Drosophila melanogaster: one gene and its partner. The protein of the gene in region 1 interacts with the protein of each later gene in a pairwise test. Each region holds a gene or a part of one and is shown on either strand. Other genes may lie near its edges. The genes, in order: CG14995 and CG6569.

Region 1 (4,850 bases):
AAGTTCTTCTTCAGATGCTCCGGTTCCAGGGGCTTGCAGAAAGACAGTTCCTCCGGATAGCGAATGTCCAGGTCCTTGCACAAGCTCACAACGGCTCCGAAAGTTTTGGCCGAAAAGTTGACGCGGTAGTCCAGATAACGAAGATCGGGCATCTGCACCCTCAGTGTCTTGTGCATGGGCGTGAAGTGCAGAAAGGAATCCGATTGAACTCCGGCCTGGTCCAAAGTGGACCGCGTCCTGGTCAGCCAGATATTCTTGGCGGGCCACCACAGGGCGTGATCGGACCAATCCTTGGGCAACTCCGGATCCACCAGGTTCAGCATTACGCCGCCAATGTGCTGGTCACCCTTCACGCGCAGCGTCTTCTCCACCTGCAGATCCGTGATGAGGATCCGCAGGTTCCACGTATTTTCGCCCACATGAATCATCTTTCGCTAAAAGTTCCGATGCGCGGGCGTCTCTTCTGTCCAAAGGCGAAACTATAACTGCGGGTATATTTGTATAGTGTATATATATGGCACAATCAGAGTCTAAATTTGCCCTCGAAACGATGACGTAATTCAACTTACGTTCAGCACCGTTTTTGCAACCAAGTTTTTGTTGTTCTTGTCGTTGTCGTTGGCTGGCGGGGAGCGGAGAGGGGGGGACTGCGACTGTGGCGGTGGCGAAACTATATAGGCCCTTATCTCGCCAGATGTTTGCACGGAAACAGAAACGCCAGCGAAACAGACCCAACAATCCAACAAGCCGAGTAATCCAGATCAAAATCGTTGGATGTAGAGATGGTGGTGGTATGTATGATGATAAAAGGGGGGGAGAGGCGGGGATGTACGGATCACTTGATTAACACACGCCCAAGGTTACGATTTTGATGGCTTGCTTGCTGCTGCTTGGGATGTTTTGTTTTCCCGATCTCTCTAGCAATCGCAATTCGCAGCGTTTTCCTCGCTCTTTTCCTCGCACATCAACACACCGACGAACACTAATGCACGCGCTCAAAAATGCGATGCAAATTTTCACAAAACAACACGTCGCGGGCGACGAGACAAAGCGAACGAGCCGAGATAGAGAGAAATTAATTTATAAATAAACCAGCAGCAGAGCAGTATGACCGTTTGTCTGCGCATATCGATGGTTCGCGCCAGCGAAATCGAACTTATCGGAACGGATGGTAAGAAGTATAGTTTAAATTTTGTTAAAAATTACATCGAAAATTAAGCAATACCATTTACCGTTAATTCTCGTGCTTAGTTTTTTGTTATTAAACTTACTGCAAGAGATATTAACCACCATACATTCTTATAAATTCTACTTTCACAATTGAACCGTGGATAGGGCATACCTAATACATTAGATTCGCATGATTTAATATAATTCGTATTCGACTTGAAACGAATTTGTGTATGGCAATCTATTGTATTGTATCAATTGTATTGTATCATAATATCGGACAGGCAAAGAACAATGAAGTCGTGGAGATTGGCACTATTGTTCCTCATTTATTTCTTCGAATTGGCTTATTCCATACGTACCTGTGGCCCAGGACGAGAAAGGAACTGTCATATTAATACTAAGCAAAAATATCAAAGGCCGAAACATTATTAACGTAACCACATGTTAACAGTAAGCACATATTTTAAAATGAGGGTACAAATATGAAAAGTGTATCGATATTTATTTTTTTCCAGAAATGGGGGTCACACCGGCCCAATGGTCATCTCTAAGTTATCGTAACGAAAAATATAGTTCTGTTGTTTTAATAATTTTAGTAGAAAGCAAATCTGCTATTATGAATATCAATTTAAATTAACGCATGTTCCAGTTAACTAATTTGTTATAAAGCAAAAGTACATGCATATATAAAAACAATACTGGTTTTTCTCCTCCTCTCTCGCTGTTTCGCTCTTTCCGCTCTTTTTCTCCACACCGCATTCGTAAACAAAGACAATGAAAGCTCCAGTTGAACGGCTAAAGAGGCCTCAAAGCCCCCAGATTGTTTTTCGCCGTTGAGCCGAGCGCACGTATTCGAAAAAACAACTAATAGTGTATAATAGTGCAGTATTGTGTAAAACACGCGCGTCTCTGCTTTCTCGCTCTGGCACCCACCCATACACTTTCGCGTGCCCATACACACATACCTGTAAGAGAGCGAGATACGAAAAACGGTGCATGGAAAATAGGAAAATCGGAACTGAAAAAGTCGGAATTTCGTTTAATCAAGTTAGCTGCGCGTACTACTGTCAGTTTCGAATTGAAAGTGCCGGCCCAGGGTTTTTCAAATAGTCATATCGTTAAGAAATTCGAAATAAGACACACACCCACAAGTTCTCGGACAAAAACATCTCGGCACGAAAAAATCGATGCAGCAATGTAAAAATTTGACAAACTCCCGTACCACAGAATGAAAGCAACAATTGAGTTACACACATATACATAGTGTAGTTAAGCGGTGTGTTACGTTCATATACATACTCGTAACAATAATAAAAAAAAGCGCGGCGCAACAACCCGAGCGGCTTATTCATCCATGCAGGAGATTCGAGATACAAAACATCAGATACAATAGCAAAACAGCAGTCTAGCATCGAAATTTTAGTCAGTTGAAAAAAACCGAAAAGCACAAGAAATTTTCATTTTGTTCGGTCCCTTAACGATAAATCCTAACGTTTTTGGCAATTAACGAATATTGTAGCTGTGGAAAGGAGCCACACTACAGCAAATACACCAACATTAAGCGGTTGATAAACCCGAACTCAGAGCAACTTGAAGACTGGAAGACATACGTAATTACAACAAATTGCAGCAACAACAAAGCAACGCCTACGACACGCCAGTGATTACAACAATAATAGCAGCAAAAGCAAAAACGAAATTATTTACCACAACAAGGCATAACCTGTTGTAGCTATTTCACTGTACTGCATTGTTGCTCACCTCTCGGCATCTAAAATTGGGCATTCACAAGCGGCTTATAGTAAATACGCGTTTAACCATCGGCTGTGAATACACAATCATTATATAGCCGGAATCTGCAAGTGGCACACCTGTGGCCACGGGTCAGTTGAACACCAGTTGGAGCAACAGCATCGCCATCATCATCACCATCACCATCACAGCCACAAGTACACACAATGTCGAGACTCACCGAGGAAATGGTGATAGCGCGGGCCAAGCAATCCGATTTGTCCCTGATCAAAAAGCTAAATTGCTGGTAAGTAGACAGCCCAAATAACTAGAAATATTTATAGAATATATCATCATATCATACTGAATAACGAAAGGAATGCTTGCATTAGTGCAATAACTAGATTGTTTGTAAATTTTTAGTCAGCGGCATATTAATCATGCTTTAGCAAAGTTAGGACGACTAATTGTTTATTATTGTTCAGACTCAACCCACTGTTAATTTCATCGATTTTCGATCTAATTTTCGCCTGTGCATTGATCTATTGCTAATCGTGCTGGGGCAGGTGCAGCCACTATAGTGAAAGCTTCGATCTGTGTTGAATGGGTCTGCGATCTGGTGTCTGGGGTTTGGGGGATCTGCCCACTTTGCTGCTCACTTCGGTCGCTCCGGCTGCTTTCACTCGACCCAATTCCAGGGGCAATCTTCTAACCAGTTTAGAAGTGTCCACTTTGGAGCGAGTCACGATTTCCTGGACTGGAAAAACACGCGCCCCTCGAGAAAAACGGTTGGAAAAGCGTGAAAAGCAGTTGAACTACTTTCCGTGATGGGCCCCCAACTCTTGACCCATCTGCGATAAGCGTGTTGCCTGCTAAGAGGGCTCCACTGTACATTATTTATCTTTATTAAAATGCCATCTATTCTGTGCTTATTTCAGGGGCAGTGATCTCAGCGATGTGTCCATCATCAAGCGAATGCGTGGAGTGGAAGTTCTGGCTCTTAGGTAAGTCACAAGTCGTGAAATATTTCTTCTATAAGGATCATTTTGATTTCCTGACTCGGTGCCTTTTGATTGATACAAAGTGTGCGGCTCGCCGCCGAGAGAATGCGGTAGAGATATATATATTAAAAAGCTAGCGAGATATTTGCTTTCCAGTGATGTCATCGCCCCATCATTAGGCAAGCTCAAATACGAAAGATACTTTGGCACGCTCAAGCGCGTAATTAATGCAAAAAGCTGGGGACGCAGAAAACTACAGAAAATAAGCTAAAAGTCGTGGGAGCTCCCAAATTGGCAATAGCAACTGGCCGCGTACTTTTCCAAGTCGCGTAGGCCACACTGCGTAGTGGGCAGATACTATAGTTATGACTCGTATCTGCTAGATACTTTTGTATCTCGCTGTGCCTTGTACCTCATCTGGTACTGCTGGATACTTGTTGTACTTGCATGTCGCTCGATAAGTTTGCATGTGCTGCTGCTGCTGCTGCTGCTTTTGCTGATTTCGCCACTTTTGCCATAAAAGGCGACAATCATTTTGACTGCCAAGGTCGCCGAAATCCATTTCACCCCCCCAAAAACTTCTGTCATCTGTTGGCAATGTGCTGAAAACTCTCGACTCTTGCGATTCGTTTAATTATGCATAAAACAGATATAGATGGAGGTGCATATATACAAGAGTTCGTGGCCTTATAGGGAGATTTGGCATTGAACTTAGGGGAAAAGAACCGTGAGAATAACAGGAAATAATAATTTAGGTATGGGCGAATCAGCTATTTCAGATGAAGCGAATAATATGTCGACCCAGTGAACAGGAAGCTATAATTATGGTATTGAAGTTGTAGATATCGCACCTTAAACAGAAATTAGATCTTATATATTTATTTCATTAGAAACAGGAAATCCCAAAGGAGGTGTAGTAGTTATCAGAATAAGAAAAAACCAACA
Region 2 (4,107 bases), on another chromosome or scaffold:
ATTATAAATAGGACTCAAGTATGTGGTTGGGTCTTAATCGAAATTAGCTTACTTTGGGTAAAAATAAATTTATGGTATTTACGATAAATAAACAAATGCGCTTATTACTCGAACTGATTTACTTTGTGATCGAGAAACAAATGGAAACATGTTCCCTTTGCATTTAGTTTACTATCACCATTTAATTCAGTATAAATTTATCGAGTTATTGGTCTTAAAGCCAAGGATATAAAGTTTTAGGTTTTGGTTCAGAATCAGGACGATATGGACGACTTGAACGATGTCATCGCAAATTTGAGCATTAAATCCAAGAACTTTATAGATGAGGCTGCAAAATCATTAACCCCAACAATGGTGGGATTCAAAAGAGAACCTGAGCGAAATCAAAACTGTACCTACTTTATGCAGAATACCTGCCAGCTTTATCAAAACATTTCTAAATCCCATCCCAAGATTGAAAACAGTGTTAAATTCGATGAAGATTTTGTGATGCATATGGAACCTGAGATCAAGGTGGAATGCTCTGTTGATGATCCCAATAAAGAAGTTCAAATTTTGCTGTATGATCCTAAATCATTTACGTATAATATTTACATGAACATTTTTTTTTAACACAGAAAAAAGGAACGCTTGAAGCAGAAATATATGGAAGCTTTGAAGCTGGATGAAAACCTTGAAGCTAGAGTGAAACAATCGGCCATTGAATCCAATCCCGATATGGAGGAACAACAAGCTGAATTGTGAGATCATAACTTTATTTATGATAGCATTTACTTAACTTTATTGGCATTTATAGAAGAAAACTTCACAAGGATCAAGTGGAAATGTACAAAGGTGTGCAGGAAGAAATTATGGTTTCCTTCAAGAGAGACATGGATGATCTAATGCAACAGTATGAAGCTGAGTACTCGCGACTTAGTAAGGTCCACTCTAAGTGGGTAAATTCCGAGAATGATTCCACCAATAACTCAAACACTCATCAGCCTTAGTCATCGCTTAGGAATTTTTAAGATTTTAGCATTTTATTAGTGAAATCAAAACGTATTTATGTAGTTTCTTGGGTTTTAACATTTGACAATAAAAAATATTCAGTATATCAAATATTTTGTTTATTTTATACAGCTTTTTTATCACTTTTCCTTTGGCTTCAGCTCACTTAGTTCCGTCGCGCTCGGCCAGCAGATCCAGCATCACCTCGATCTTAAGATTACACATATTGTTCTCCTCCTCGAGGGCACGAAACTTCTTGTTCAGCCGGAGCATATCATCTACGTCACCCTTTCGGGTCGAATGCATCCAGATGCCGTCCGCAAAACGCAGCTCCTTGTTGCCCAGCGTTAGGGAAATCTGGCGGAAGTCATCCAGATCCTCGGTGGCCACCGGATGTCCTATATTGCAACGTCCCTGACGCACTGGAATCGGCTTCGACTCGAACTTCTTGTTGAAGAGCGGCATTGCAAACAACTGAAACGGAAAGTTGACCACATTTCGATTACATCCCCATTTGTTTGCCACTGCCCCGTTGCCCAGGACAACAGACACTTGTCAGGGGATCAGCGTTCGCGGCAGGACTCGTGCCAGGTTTTTAATGGCTAGTAAGACCGTATCCATATGTACCTGCTTGAAGGGTAGCGGCTGGCTGTCAGAGATTGACGAGGGGCAGCAAAAGGTTGCCAGTTGCATAAAATCGGTGAAATACAGAGAACTCCTTGCTGCACGCGGGGATACGGATGGATTTCTAAGCCAAACTGCCTTCAACAGGATTTTAAATGCCTGATAATTTAAAAGACAAAGCTTGCTTCATCGCAGAAACTCGTCTCATGTCAAACATAAACATTTTGTTTGGTTCATTGATGAAATTCTATACAAACACACAATAAACCCGATACACAACTCTGCTGTGAAAAATAATATGATTCCAAACACACAACAAATATGACACAACACGAAAATCAGCAAGCCATTCTCAGGTAGGAGAGCAAAGGAAAATTTGTCAACTAAAGTTAGTCAACGCGCAGCCAATTCACCATTTAGCAACTTTGTGCTGGAAATGTGTGAAGGAGTGGATCGACTGATGCGGGATCAGGCCGAACTGAAGGTTCACCTCAACGAAATTCTAAATGAGAACCGCCGGCTGGACATCGAATTGGCCAAATGCAGGAGCATCTTGGTTAGCGGCGATTACCAGGAGCTCAAGCATCGCCTTCAACTCAGCAACAAGGCTTTGGACGCGTCCAAGAAGCAGGTGGATGAGCTTATCAAGGAACGGAACAGCCTGAAAACCATGCATGACCTCTCCAAACAGACCATCGAAACCATGGAGATGGATCTTAAGAATTATCGCGTCCAATTGAAAATGTCTGGAGATGACCAGGTATTATTGCACTTCATCATTCCAATCCCGTATTGATTATCATATTATAGTAAGCTTTGACCAAATCGTATGTTTTAGGGACCAGAGACTAATGGAAAAATCCTAAAGTAAACTTCAACGTTTTCGGAATTCAATTTTAGGTCATACAGCGGTACTCGAAGATCGTCAAAGTGCTGGAGGCAAAAGTTGAGGACCAGCAGAAGGAGATACGCACGCAGGCGGAGACCATAAAGGCCCTGCACGATCACAAGCAGCACAGCGGATTGCAACTCCAGCAGCTGCATGCTCAACTGCAGGATAGCGAGCAGAGTCAATCCAAGGTGTCCATCCTGCAGAAGCAGCTTAAGGAGTACGAACTATCGCTGAGCCACACCCACAATTTGCTCATGGAGAGCACAAGACGGGAAACCGCCGCCATGCGCAAGCTCGAGGAGGCTATCATACTCAGCGAAGAGGCAAACAAGGAGAAAATAGATGCCACAAAGCTGGCCGAGACCTACAAGGAGGAGATGACCCACCTAGCCTCCAATATCGGTACCATAATGGATGAGGCCTCCACACGCGTCGACGTTGAAGTGGGCCATCTGAAGAATATGCTCAAGCAAAAGGACATTATAATTACCACCATAAAGGAGAAGGTAAAAGTCTATATTCGTATAATAATTATCACTTATAGTTACACTTACAAATTTTAGCTGAAAAAACTGGCTGTCGATCATAAGTCGGTGGTGCACATGCTGGAGACCCGGAGCAATCGCCTGGAGCAAAAGTACAAGGAGGTGCTGAAGCAGAACGATAAGCTGGAGGCCGAGTTGGAGGCAACTTGCCGGCGACTTGGCGAACTGGAGCGATCCGTTACTGAAGCTTACGGTGGGGATGCCGAAGATGCCAGGATGTGAGTATACAACATAGACAATTAATGACAAACATGATTATAAATCATAACGCTTTTAGAAAAATGTACTATAAGTCTCAAATGGATCGCTGCATAATGGATCACAAGAAAATGAAGGAGAAATACCGCGAGGGCATGGAGGACATCACGCAACGCTTCGAATCGGAAATTTACAAGTTAAGGGAGGAGAACTCCGTGCTGCTGGCGGAAAACGAACTGCTTAAGAGCGGTGCCGCAGGCGATAGCTCCAAGCAGACTTCACGCTGATTTTACGGTTGTACAAATATATATTTTATGATAACTCTCGTACATAATAAATTAGTTCTACGAGATCACACTATGTGGCGGCCGTTGTCTGTGCGTTTCGACCGGGAAACAAACTGGGAAACCAATAGGCTGGCTCATCGCCCGCCTGCTTGTCAATCCAACAGAGACCTTCGCCGAGCACCTTGTCCAGTGACTGTTGAGCACGATAGTCGGTCCAGCTGAGAACGGATAACACGGAAATCAAAGGGATATTCAGTTGAAAGTACAAGTGAAATTCTTACCCCAAATCCTTGATCAGCTGACTCTGCGTAACACAGCCTTGTTCGGTATTGGATGCGGCATTCAGTATGTTGGTCTCCTCCATGCTCAGCTCTCCGGGAATGGACTGAACTATGTACTTGCCCTTGCCCAGCTTGTGAACCACAAAGCTGAAGGTACGTTATGGAAAACGAGAAACTTGTGATATTGAATGCAAGCAGAGGTAATGACCCATACCCGTTGCCAAAAATGCTCAATTTCTTAGCGGCCATTAGGATGTCCTCCTTGGTGATCTCCTGGTGCACTGAACTCT

Evidence for each region.
Region 2: the proteins of CG14995 (region 1) and CG6569 interact in a two-hybrid assay, tested with the Drosophila melanogaster proteins (one large-scale study listed by BioGRID).

The regions. Positions count from the first base shown.
Region 1 is NT_037436.4:4,099,838-4,104,687, reverse strand, and holds the start of CG14995 (uncharacterized protein), read left to right. Parts: upstream 1-1,727; 5' UTR 1,728-3,131; coding exon 3,132-3,211; intron 3,212-3,473; exon of another isoform or gene 3,474-3,507; coding exon of another isoform or gene 3,508-3,692; intron 3,693-3,842; coding exon 3,843-3,908; intron 3,909-4,850. Other genes in the region: Fit1 (fermitin 1), read right to left, coding at 1-428.
Region 2 is NT_033777.3:21,865,672-21,869,778, reverse strand, and holds CG6569 (uncharacterized protein), read left to right. Parts: upstream 1-1,859; 5' UTR 1,860-1,935; coding exon 1,936-1,970; exon of another isoform or gene 1,971-2,034; coding exon 2,035-2,374; intron 2,375-2,424; coding exon of another isoform or gene 2,425-2,427; exon of another isoform or gene 2,428-2,452; coding exon of another isoform or gene 2,453-2,485; exon of another isoform or gene 2,486-2,514; coding exon 2,515-3,012; intron 3,013-3,069; coding exon 3,070-3,269; intron 3,270-3,328; coding exon 3,329-3,536; 3' UTR 3,537-3,606; downstream 3,607-4,107. Other genes in the region: CG31174 (uncharacterized protein), read left to right, coding at 265-560, 618-740, 797-989; lsn (larsen), read right to left, coding at 3,607-3,754, 3,818-3,964, 4,032-4,107.